2 linked regions of the Nothobranchius furzeri genome follow. The protein of the gene in region 1 interacts with the protein of each later gene in a pairwise test. Links are inferred from orthologs where the notes say so. Each region holds a gene or a part of one and is shown on either strand. Other genes may lie near its edges.

The links. The genes of interacting proteins can lie anywhere in the genome.
Region 2: the proteins of washc3 (region 1) and hsbp1b interact in binary tests that used the Homo sapiens proteins (3 or more experiments, as listed by UniProt). The two-hybrid records come from large-scale screens. The link is inferred for Nothobranchius furzeri from reciprocal best matches to the Homo sapiens genes WASHC3 and HSBP1.

What each region holds. Positions count from the first base shown.
Region 1 is NC_091741.1:43,372,306-43,376,657, forward strand, and holds the start of washc3 (WASH complex subunit 3), read right to left. Parts: upstream 2,834-4,352; 5' UTR 2,699-2,833; coding exon 2,648-2,698; intron 1,152-2,647; coding exon 1,053-1,151; intron 951-1,052; coding exon 885-950; intron 813-884; coding exon 675-812; intron 1-674. Other genes in the region: uncharacterized protein, read left to right, coding at 3,176-3,209, 3,930-4,132, 4,215-4,316. UniProt on the Homo sapiens protein: Acts as a component of the WASH core complex that functions as a nucleation-promoting factor (NPF) at the surface of endosomes, where it recruits and activates the Arp2/3 complex to induce actin polymerization, playing a key role in the fission of tubules that serve as transport intermediates during endosome sorting.
Region 2 is NC_091744.1:87,756,934-87,760,821, reverse strand, and holds hsbp1b (heat shock factor-binding protein 1b), read left to right. Parts: upstream 1-1,283; 5' UTR 1,284-1,377; coding exon 1,378-1,422; intron 1,423-2,173; coding exon 2,174-2,240; intron 2,241-2,371; coding exon 2,372-2,493; 3' UTR 2,494-2,498; intron 2,499-2,943; 3' UTR 2,944-3,379; downstream 3,380-3,888. UniProt on the Homo sapiens protein: Negative regulator of the heat shock response. Negatively affects HSF1 DNA-binding activity. May have a role in the suppression of the activation of the stress response during the aging process.

The sequences.
Region 1 (4,352 bases):
AGCGAGACCCAATCTATACTTCAGTTTAAGTCTGACCACTTTGGTGTAAAGAGGAGTTCATGTTTGACTCAGTCACTGCAGAAATAAGCCCAAATCATCAGCCCCCTGCCACCGTGCTTTACAGAGGACAGGAGGTGTTTGAGCTGACCTGGTGCACTGTTTTAACCAAAAGTGATGGCTTGTTTACTGACCTCGGCCTGAACTCTGTGCTGCAGACTCAGGAAATCTGCCCTGAAGGTTTTCCACCTTTCTCACTGTAAATATGTAACGTCACACTTCTGGATAGGATTTTACAATCCTGTCAGAGTGTGAGGAGGACAATCAAAATCCAATCCGATCACTATGCAAACAAAGCAGCCAGTAACAAACATACTTCTTTGAAGGTTCTCAAAACTAAAAGTCTATCCTTTACAACAGGAGGGGAATGTTGAGCCTTTTTTGTACGTAAACTCCAAAAGAAAACAAAACAACAGTTGCGTTGACGGCAGGTTTCTACTTGTTGCATCGACCAAAGAGCTGATGACAATCTACATTCCGACTTAAAAAGAAAAGTTCAACTGCCGATTTTTGGCATCACAGACTCCCAAACAAGAAAAAAGACACAAAGACTGTTTTGGCATTCATCGTGGCCGATTGAACCTGCATGTCTGTTGCAGGTGGGTCTGAACTCCTACCTCTGAGGAAGAAGGTGGTCCTGCTGCTACACCGTTAGTTAGGTTCTGACCGATAGTACTGGGTCCTTTAGTGTGGGAGGCCTGCTGTTGGTTGAGGCCCTCTACTGTGACGTCCTCCAGTCCAGGAATAGAGGACAGCTGCTCAGAACAATGTCACTGCATAAGTGAAAAGACAACATCCAGAAACGGTATCAAGGTCTCACAAGTTACCTTAGCCTCTAAAATGCTGAGTGTGGTTTCAATCTGCTGTATGCGAAGAGAAATGTTTGCAAGTTTCTGTGAAGAGAAGTAAAAAAAATAAATAAATACATAATTTGAGTTCATATTCTGAGGCAGAAGAAGCATTAAGGAGTAAAAAACAAACAAACAAACACAAACCTCTTCACACACGGTGGAAAACTGGTTAAGAAATCGTACGGTGTGCACAACAAACTGGTTGAGAAATCCAACGATTCGTCTCTGCTGTATTGCAGGAACCTGAGAAAAGATAAAAGCAGTATAATTAAAAACTTACCAAGTGTTACTATAGTTTATTTTACTAAACATAAACCTCTAGTATAATTGATTTTTGAATGTTATGGCTTTAAATAATATTGAGGGGATTCTAAAATGACTTTTAACTACTGCTGTTAAAATGTTTTTTGTAAATCTTTATTGAAACAAAGCAGTACAAAACAACAATTAACACCAGGGAGAATAAACAACATCTACATAAACAGACCAGGGTCATGTGTTAGCAGTGTTATTTAAACAACACAATAACATACAGTAACCTGTGGATTATTGCAAAGTTTCAAGTATTTGAGAGAATTTTAAAAGCAGCTGAGTTCTACCTTTAAAGTCTTGCATCAAACAAAATGCTAATGGCAAAAAGAATGATGAAAACTATCAAATCTGATTTTCTGTGTTGGGTAGTTACTAATTATATTTACTTGAGTATTTTTAGGAAAAAGAAATGCAACATTTTAATTAAGTCTTTACATTATATAATTTATCATATAACATTATACTATTATCTGTTTGAATGGATTTTATAAATTAAAGGAGCTGTTATGATTACTCATTATTTGAGCAGCTTTTTTGCAAACACAGTTTTTGTACTTTTTTTTAACTACTCAAGTAAACATATATGAAAGTAATGCTACTCTTATTTGAGTATAATCTCTGGCTACTCTACCCACATGTCTGACTTTGCATATAATGGATGCAAATCGGTGTGGAGGAAAAACATTTGGAATAACAGACTACTGTATATCAGGTGTTGTGCCGAAAAGAGCACGCCTACCGAAATGTGTATCCCCGTCGAAAGACGCAAATTGAAGAAGAATTTGAATTATGAGCAATTCAGAATTTGAACACGTTTCTAATCCGTGTTTCTCCTGAAAAGATTTTGTTTTTGACTACAAATATGATGAAATAATGATTAAATAATTGACCTTTTTCAACACGTTTGACACTAATGTTTTAGCAAGTATTAAACAATTTTGTTGGTTTAAAAAAGCAGACTCAAAATGACTAACCTTTTATATGTGCATTATATTACTTAAAATAAAACATGTTATAAACAGTAGTTTATTTTACTTATTTGCTCATAAACCATCATTTTGTAAGGAAGGATGCAGCTCATGTTGTACACATTTATTAAAAAGCGGTCTCATACGCGCCTTCCCGCAGGGGATGCACATTTTCGCAGACAAGCTCTTTTCGGCACAACACCGGTAATAGAATCTAATGAATGATGTATTCAAATAGAACATCAGTGTTCGGAGAGAAAACGTTCTTTCCTCTTTTGATACTTCTTTAGAACAAACCAAAAGGAAAATGACTAGGCAAACAGTTACAAGTAGGTGAAATTAGTTAGAAAAAGGCCACAGTTTTCTCTGCATTAGTGATTATATATTTTGTTAAAAAGCACAAACATAGCTTTGGGTTCTCAGGTTTTCAGTGTTAGCTAACCAGTTAGAAACACAAACCTTCGTAAGATCGACTCCTGACCCGACTAACGGCAGGCCGTCCTCGTCCATGTTAGCGTTTTACACTTCCTGTGAATAGGAATGTGGTTTCAGGTCTAATGGCACGAAATTTGAAAGAAAAAATGACATGAAACAAAACATTTACACCGTTGAAGGCTTCACGTGACACTGAGCAGTGTGACTGGCTACGTGATTACGTCACTCTAGGAAAAGGAAATGATTAACTTTTATTTTGAAGAGGCATCAATGCACTCGAATTCACACTTTTATATTTCGAGCTGTCGAAATTTTCTAAACTTTTTCTTTATCTAGTCATTGGCTTTGAAGTAAAAAAGAACTTGAAAATAATAGCATTCTGAAATTCATTAGAAAACACCAAAACACGTCTTTCAGACATATATTTTGAAAAGCGGAAACTTGAGTGAATACTTGAGGAAGCGATGCTTGCGCTCTAATAGCGCATTAGCCACCAAAACAAACAGCACAAATATACACAGATTCCTCAAATTCACTTGGTGGGATGCTTTAATGGAAGTTGTGGAATCAAAAGAAAAAATGGAGGGTATGTATGTTACCAGTTTGCCTTTCTGATATTTTCTGGAGACGTGTTTGTTTTACTATCAGTGGGCTCTGTCTATTTAAAGGAACCACAATGTTCATTATTTGGCAGACTGTTGTTGTTGCGCAGTGGAAGTTAGCTTGCTGTTAAATGTACAGACACTCTTACGCGATATATTGTTTTAACTAAGTTGCGAAGCTTTTGAGTAACATCTGTGGACATTTTCCAGATTGTGTATCTAAAATGTTAAAGATCTGTCCAGGATTTTCTCCAGTTCAAAAGCCTGTAGCTCAAATTCAATTCAAGTTTATTTATACAGCGCCAAATCACGACAAGAGTCGTCTCGAGGCACTTCACATAGTTAACATTCCAATACAGGTCAGTTCATTAAGCCAATCAGGAAAAAAAGTTTCCTATATAAGGAACCCAGCAAACTGCATCCAGTCACTGACTGGTCTCAGTGACTTTAGCAAGCAAGCAAGCAAATGACAGACAACAATGTAACAGATCACGTGATTGTTTTATTGCTTGATTGTTTTTAATTATCTGTATGAAGCCAATAACTGTTTCAGTTATGTGTAAAATGTGAGAACTTTGCAAAATCACATCGTGAAAATTTTATCCACCTGCTGTTTCCTGCAAGTACTCTGAATGCTCTCTGAATTAGGGGGTGTGTTACTGCCCTCCATCGGTCATTTCTGACTTTACACATTAATGTTTCAGACCCAAACTTCCCTTTGCCCTCCTTTCGCCTCCTGGTGCCTCCCTTGCATCTTCTGTCTGCTGCTATGTGGAATCTGATGAAGGGGAAAGATGTGATGAACTATGGGAAGCTGCAGGAGTTTGTGTCCATGCTGACAGAAGCAGTTCCTGGTTTGATCAACCACAGACAGAGAGCGCATCTCCTTCTCGGATTGAAGGCCAGGGTGAATGGTGTTTTGTTTCACATGCAAACGTTCTTGTTTTGGTGTCTCAGTCGTGCATTAACATATTTTGATGATATTTCAGTTGATTTTGGAGTTGTGCAAGGGTTCTGCTCGACACGATGTTGATTCTGATGTGATCCAGACCTACTTGGAGGGATTCCCAGTTACCTCTGCAACCACAGACGTATGTAAACTAATGATACTTGATGCAAATGTCAAT
Region 2 (3,888 bases), on another chromosome or scaffold:
AAAACACCTCCAGTAACATGCTGCAGTGTCCACTATGACCCACACATTCAGAGCGAACAGCTAGCTGAGTGTGTGGAGTTTAGAGAGGTGCCGGTGTTGTTTGTTCCATCTGTTGAGAAACCAACTCATCAAAGCTAGGAGGTACAGCCCATGAACTCACCACTGTGCTGTTTCACTGATGTTCCAGTCAGCTAGTGGACTAATTACACAGCAGCAGCTGTAGAGATGCTTTTGCCATCAGAGCACAAACAACAAGCTCTCTGTTCATATTATAAGAAAACTTTAAACATCATTTTGGTGTGCAGTGCAGAAAATGTGATGAACACATGATTAGCCAACAAATGCTGGAGCTGATGGAGCAAACCCATCCTTTAATAATATCTATTAAACACCTGGTTCATCTGCAAGTTTATAAATGCAAACGTTTTATTTATTTATTTTTTAATTCAACATGTTTTCAGCACGTGAAATAGTCTCTCATGGTTGGACGTTTAAACTCACACACACCAGATGCTGAGTGGCACACAGGAGAACAAGTTCAGGTTATGTAAGCAAATAGTTTCATGGGGCAGGGCCAACTTTAACAACACCCGCAACATCAACATAGGGCTACTGGGTTGGAGTTACTGCGCGCACACAAATATATATATATATAAACATGGAATGTGTGCTCTTTTATGCTGAATTCATAATTAAATCCAAAAAGTATTAATAAATAACAACACGTCCCTACTAAACTGGTAGTTTGCAAAGCGCTACTTGATACCCGCGGATCTGATTCGCTCTCTGGAATTATGATGTCGCGACATTCCTAAACATCCTCTGCTGCTGCTTTACTTACCAGGCGCCTTCATTCACGTCCCGTCAGTGTGAAACAAACTTATTTATGTACAAGGCTCCACTCTCACGCAGTCTGGGCGTGAAAACACACGGAAACTCTTGGCAGCTCCAAGTTTCAAATCCAAACTTGCTGAAAACGGAGGAAGACGTGCGCGCTCGGCCGTGCGCATGCACGCGCTCGCGCGGACATGAACATGTTTTCTTATGAAAGGCTACAACCTACAGTATGTAAGTATGTACAGTCTATGGCTACAACCGATTCATGTAATGGACAATTAGAGCCTACACTCATAAAGAAGCGCGTCTCTTGGCAAGCTGAGCATGAACTACACAAGTACCGTGCATGTTTTCCCATCAGAACTCCATCTTCCACACGGCCCAGCACCACTCAACTCTCGCGAGACTTGTCTTTGTTGTGGGAACAGCTGACTGCAGAAGATTCTACCGAGTGTTAGTCTGTTCTGAGCGGTCCAATAGTAAAACGGTGATTTATAGCTGATTTATTGTATTGTGAAGGCACGGATTAACATTCACAACATGGCTGAGACGGATCCCAAGACGGTGCAGGACCTTACAAATGTGGTGAGTCGTGACCGTGATGCAAGCTAGTGCTACTAGCTACTGCTAGCTTGCATTGCTAGTAAGATTGCTCAAGTGTATTTGGGTATTCACATAATCACGCTTACTTGTGTAAATATTCCAGTTTAACACGTCTGTTGATCAAATGTTGCATTAGCTAAACTGTCCTGACATTTAGCTTAATCAGTCACAACAAACCGCTTTAGCATTCGTTACTGTAGGATGCATTATTACATCAGTAAGATTTATTGAACAATTAAGACATGTTTTCAATTGTTCTCTTTCAAATGTGATATTAAACAGCACATTTGCGCGTTACGTAATCATTTAGTGTCTCACAAAGACATCTTGGCCAATGTTTCAGTGTTTCCATGGAGATGAGCATTCGTGAGAGGCGTTTAAGAGCTGAATGACCCCTCACAGCTAGCTGCCTTTTGAGATGACCAGAGTCCTAACTGCGAATGTGTGGGTGTTTTCTCTGTCCACCACACATCCTCTAAGAATGAATTAAAAGCAGATCTCCATGGTTACCAATCTTTTCCTCCGTTGGCATGGGGACACAGCTGATGGATTTTCGCCTCTTTTAGATATCGTTCATAGATCACAGGCTTTGTTTTCAATTCCCAGATACCGGTAATTAAAATGTCACGACTGTTTCACATCCTAAGAAACTAATCAACTATACATTTGACTATTTTGATGTGTATTATATCAGCGTCATCATTTCTTGATTAACACCTTGTTTCTTCTACAGGTTCAGACACTGCTGCAGCAGATGCAGGACAAGTTTCAGACCATGTCAGACCAGATAATTGGAAGGAATATCCTAACAATTTTAATGAACAGAGCATTGTCATTCAAATCTACTAAATACTTTTCCTTTTAATCACATACTAACGGATTTCACCCAGGAAAGTGTTAGTTTTCTGGTTTTCCTTAACCAAATCTCTACTTGATGAGATGAGCACGCGTATTGATGACCTAGAGAAGAACATCGCTGACCTGATGACTCAGGCCGGCGTTGAAGAGATTGAGGCAACGCCGGAAAAGGCTAAAGAGGGTCAGGGATCGTAATGAAGGTAAAAAGTGAAATGGTATACCAAGGCTGGAGGGCCACCGTCCAGCATGTTTTAGTGGTTTCCTTCTTCGACAGACTTAATAGTTGTATTACCCGTTTATGTTGTGGCAAGGTGGAGAAACATGGACCTGGGCGGGATTCGATCCGCAGACTCCCGGGTGAGAGTCACATGTGCTAACCAGTCAGCCAAAGGGACATCCCCATGGCCAAGTAGCCAGGGACAGGATGTTCACCCTGTCACAATGCCATCAAAGTCTGTAGAAGCTTGTTATTCATCCACTGATCAAATGCAGGCGTGTGAAAGCTGAGAAACCTTTAAAGTTTGCAGGATGGTGGCCCTTGAGGACCAGGATTGGGGAGCACTGCTTTAGGACGTCATATTTGAATTTCTAGTTAGTACATTTTAAATTGCACGCCAGTTATGAATGCTTTTTTCTGTCTTACAGGTTTCTTAACCACGCGGTGTGAAGTCGGTCCAGTGTGTCTGGAGGCAGCAGGCTTCACTAAAACTTACTTATGACTTATGTTAGATGTTTTTATATACTGAATATTGTGAGATGGTTACGGTAATGTTAAAGCTAAAGGTTGAGCATCATTTGCAAGGTAGAATAGTTTGATATGTCTTTCTGATCTTCAGGTGGAAGAAAGCAGTTTCTAGAGGTTCTTTAGCTGCCAGCGTTTAATGTGTCAGTCCCCGTATGTGATGGTGCAGCTGGATCCATGTCGGTAAAGCTCGTCTGAGGAGCAAACCCCACTGGCTGCCAGGCCGCAGCATGGATACGACATACTGAACGGGCTGCCGTGTTTGACCACCAGCCCTGTTGCTCCAGATGTGCTAAATGCATTCCACGTCTGATCTATTAAAGCTATCTCTATACTGCAGTTTGCAATCCATTTCAGTGGTTTGATTAGTTTCTGAATAACTAAAGTTAACGCTAGGGTGCTTGTTTTATACGTTATAAGCCAGAACTGTGCTGTACATTATTCACAGTACTATGCAAAAGTCTTGAGCCACCTATTTAAGTATGTAGGCCTTTACATTTCTTCTTAATCTTTGTATGCAAACTTCAGATTTGATGGTTTAGGCTTGAAAAAGCAGTTACACCTGATCACCCAGGGTTGCCCACTTTTTGCCACATTTTACCTCCATCCCATTTGCTTTTTTACTCTATTTTGAGGACATCCGGCACCTAAAACTGAGATTTTCTATTTTCATTAGTGAATGAATTAATGTTAGGATAATTATTCTGCAACGCGTCTAATATTGTAAGAGTCCAGCTTCATAAAAGGACTGTCTGGCTTAAGACTTATGCACAATACTCCATCTGGAATATGTGAATGTTGCATGCTCCAACTTCTTCATGCATTAAATAACATTTTGTTGTTGGGAG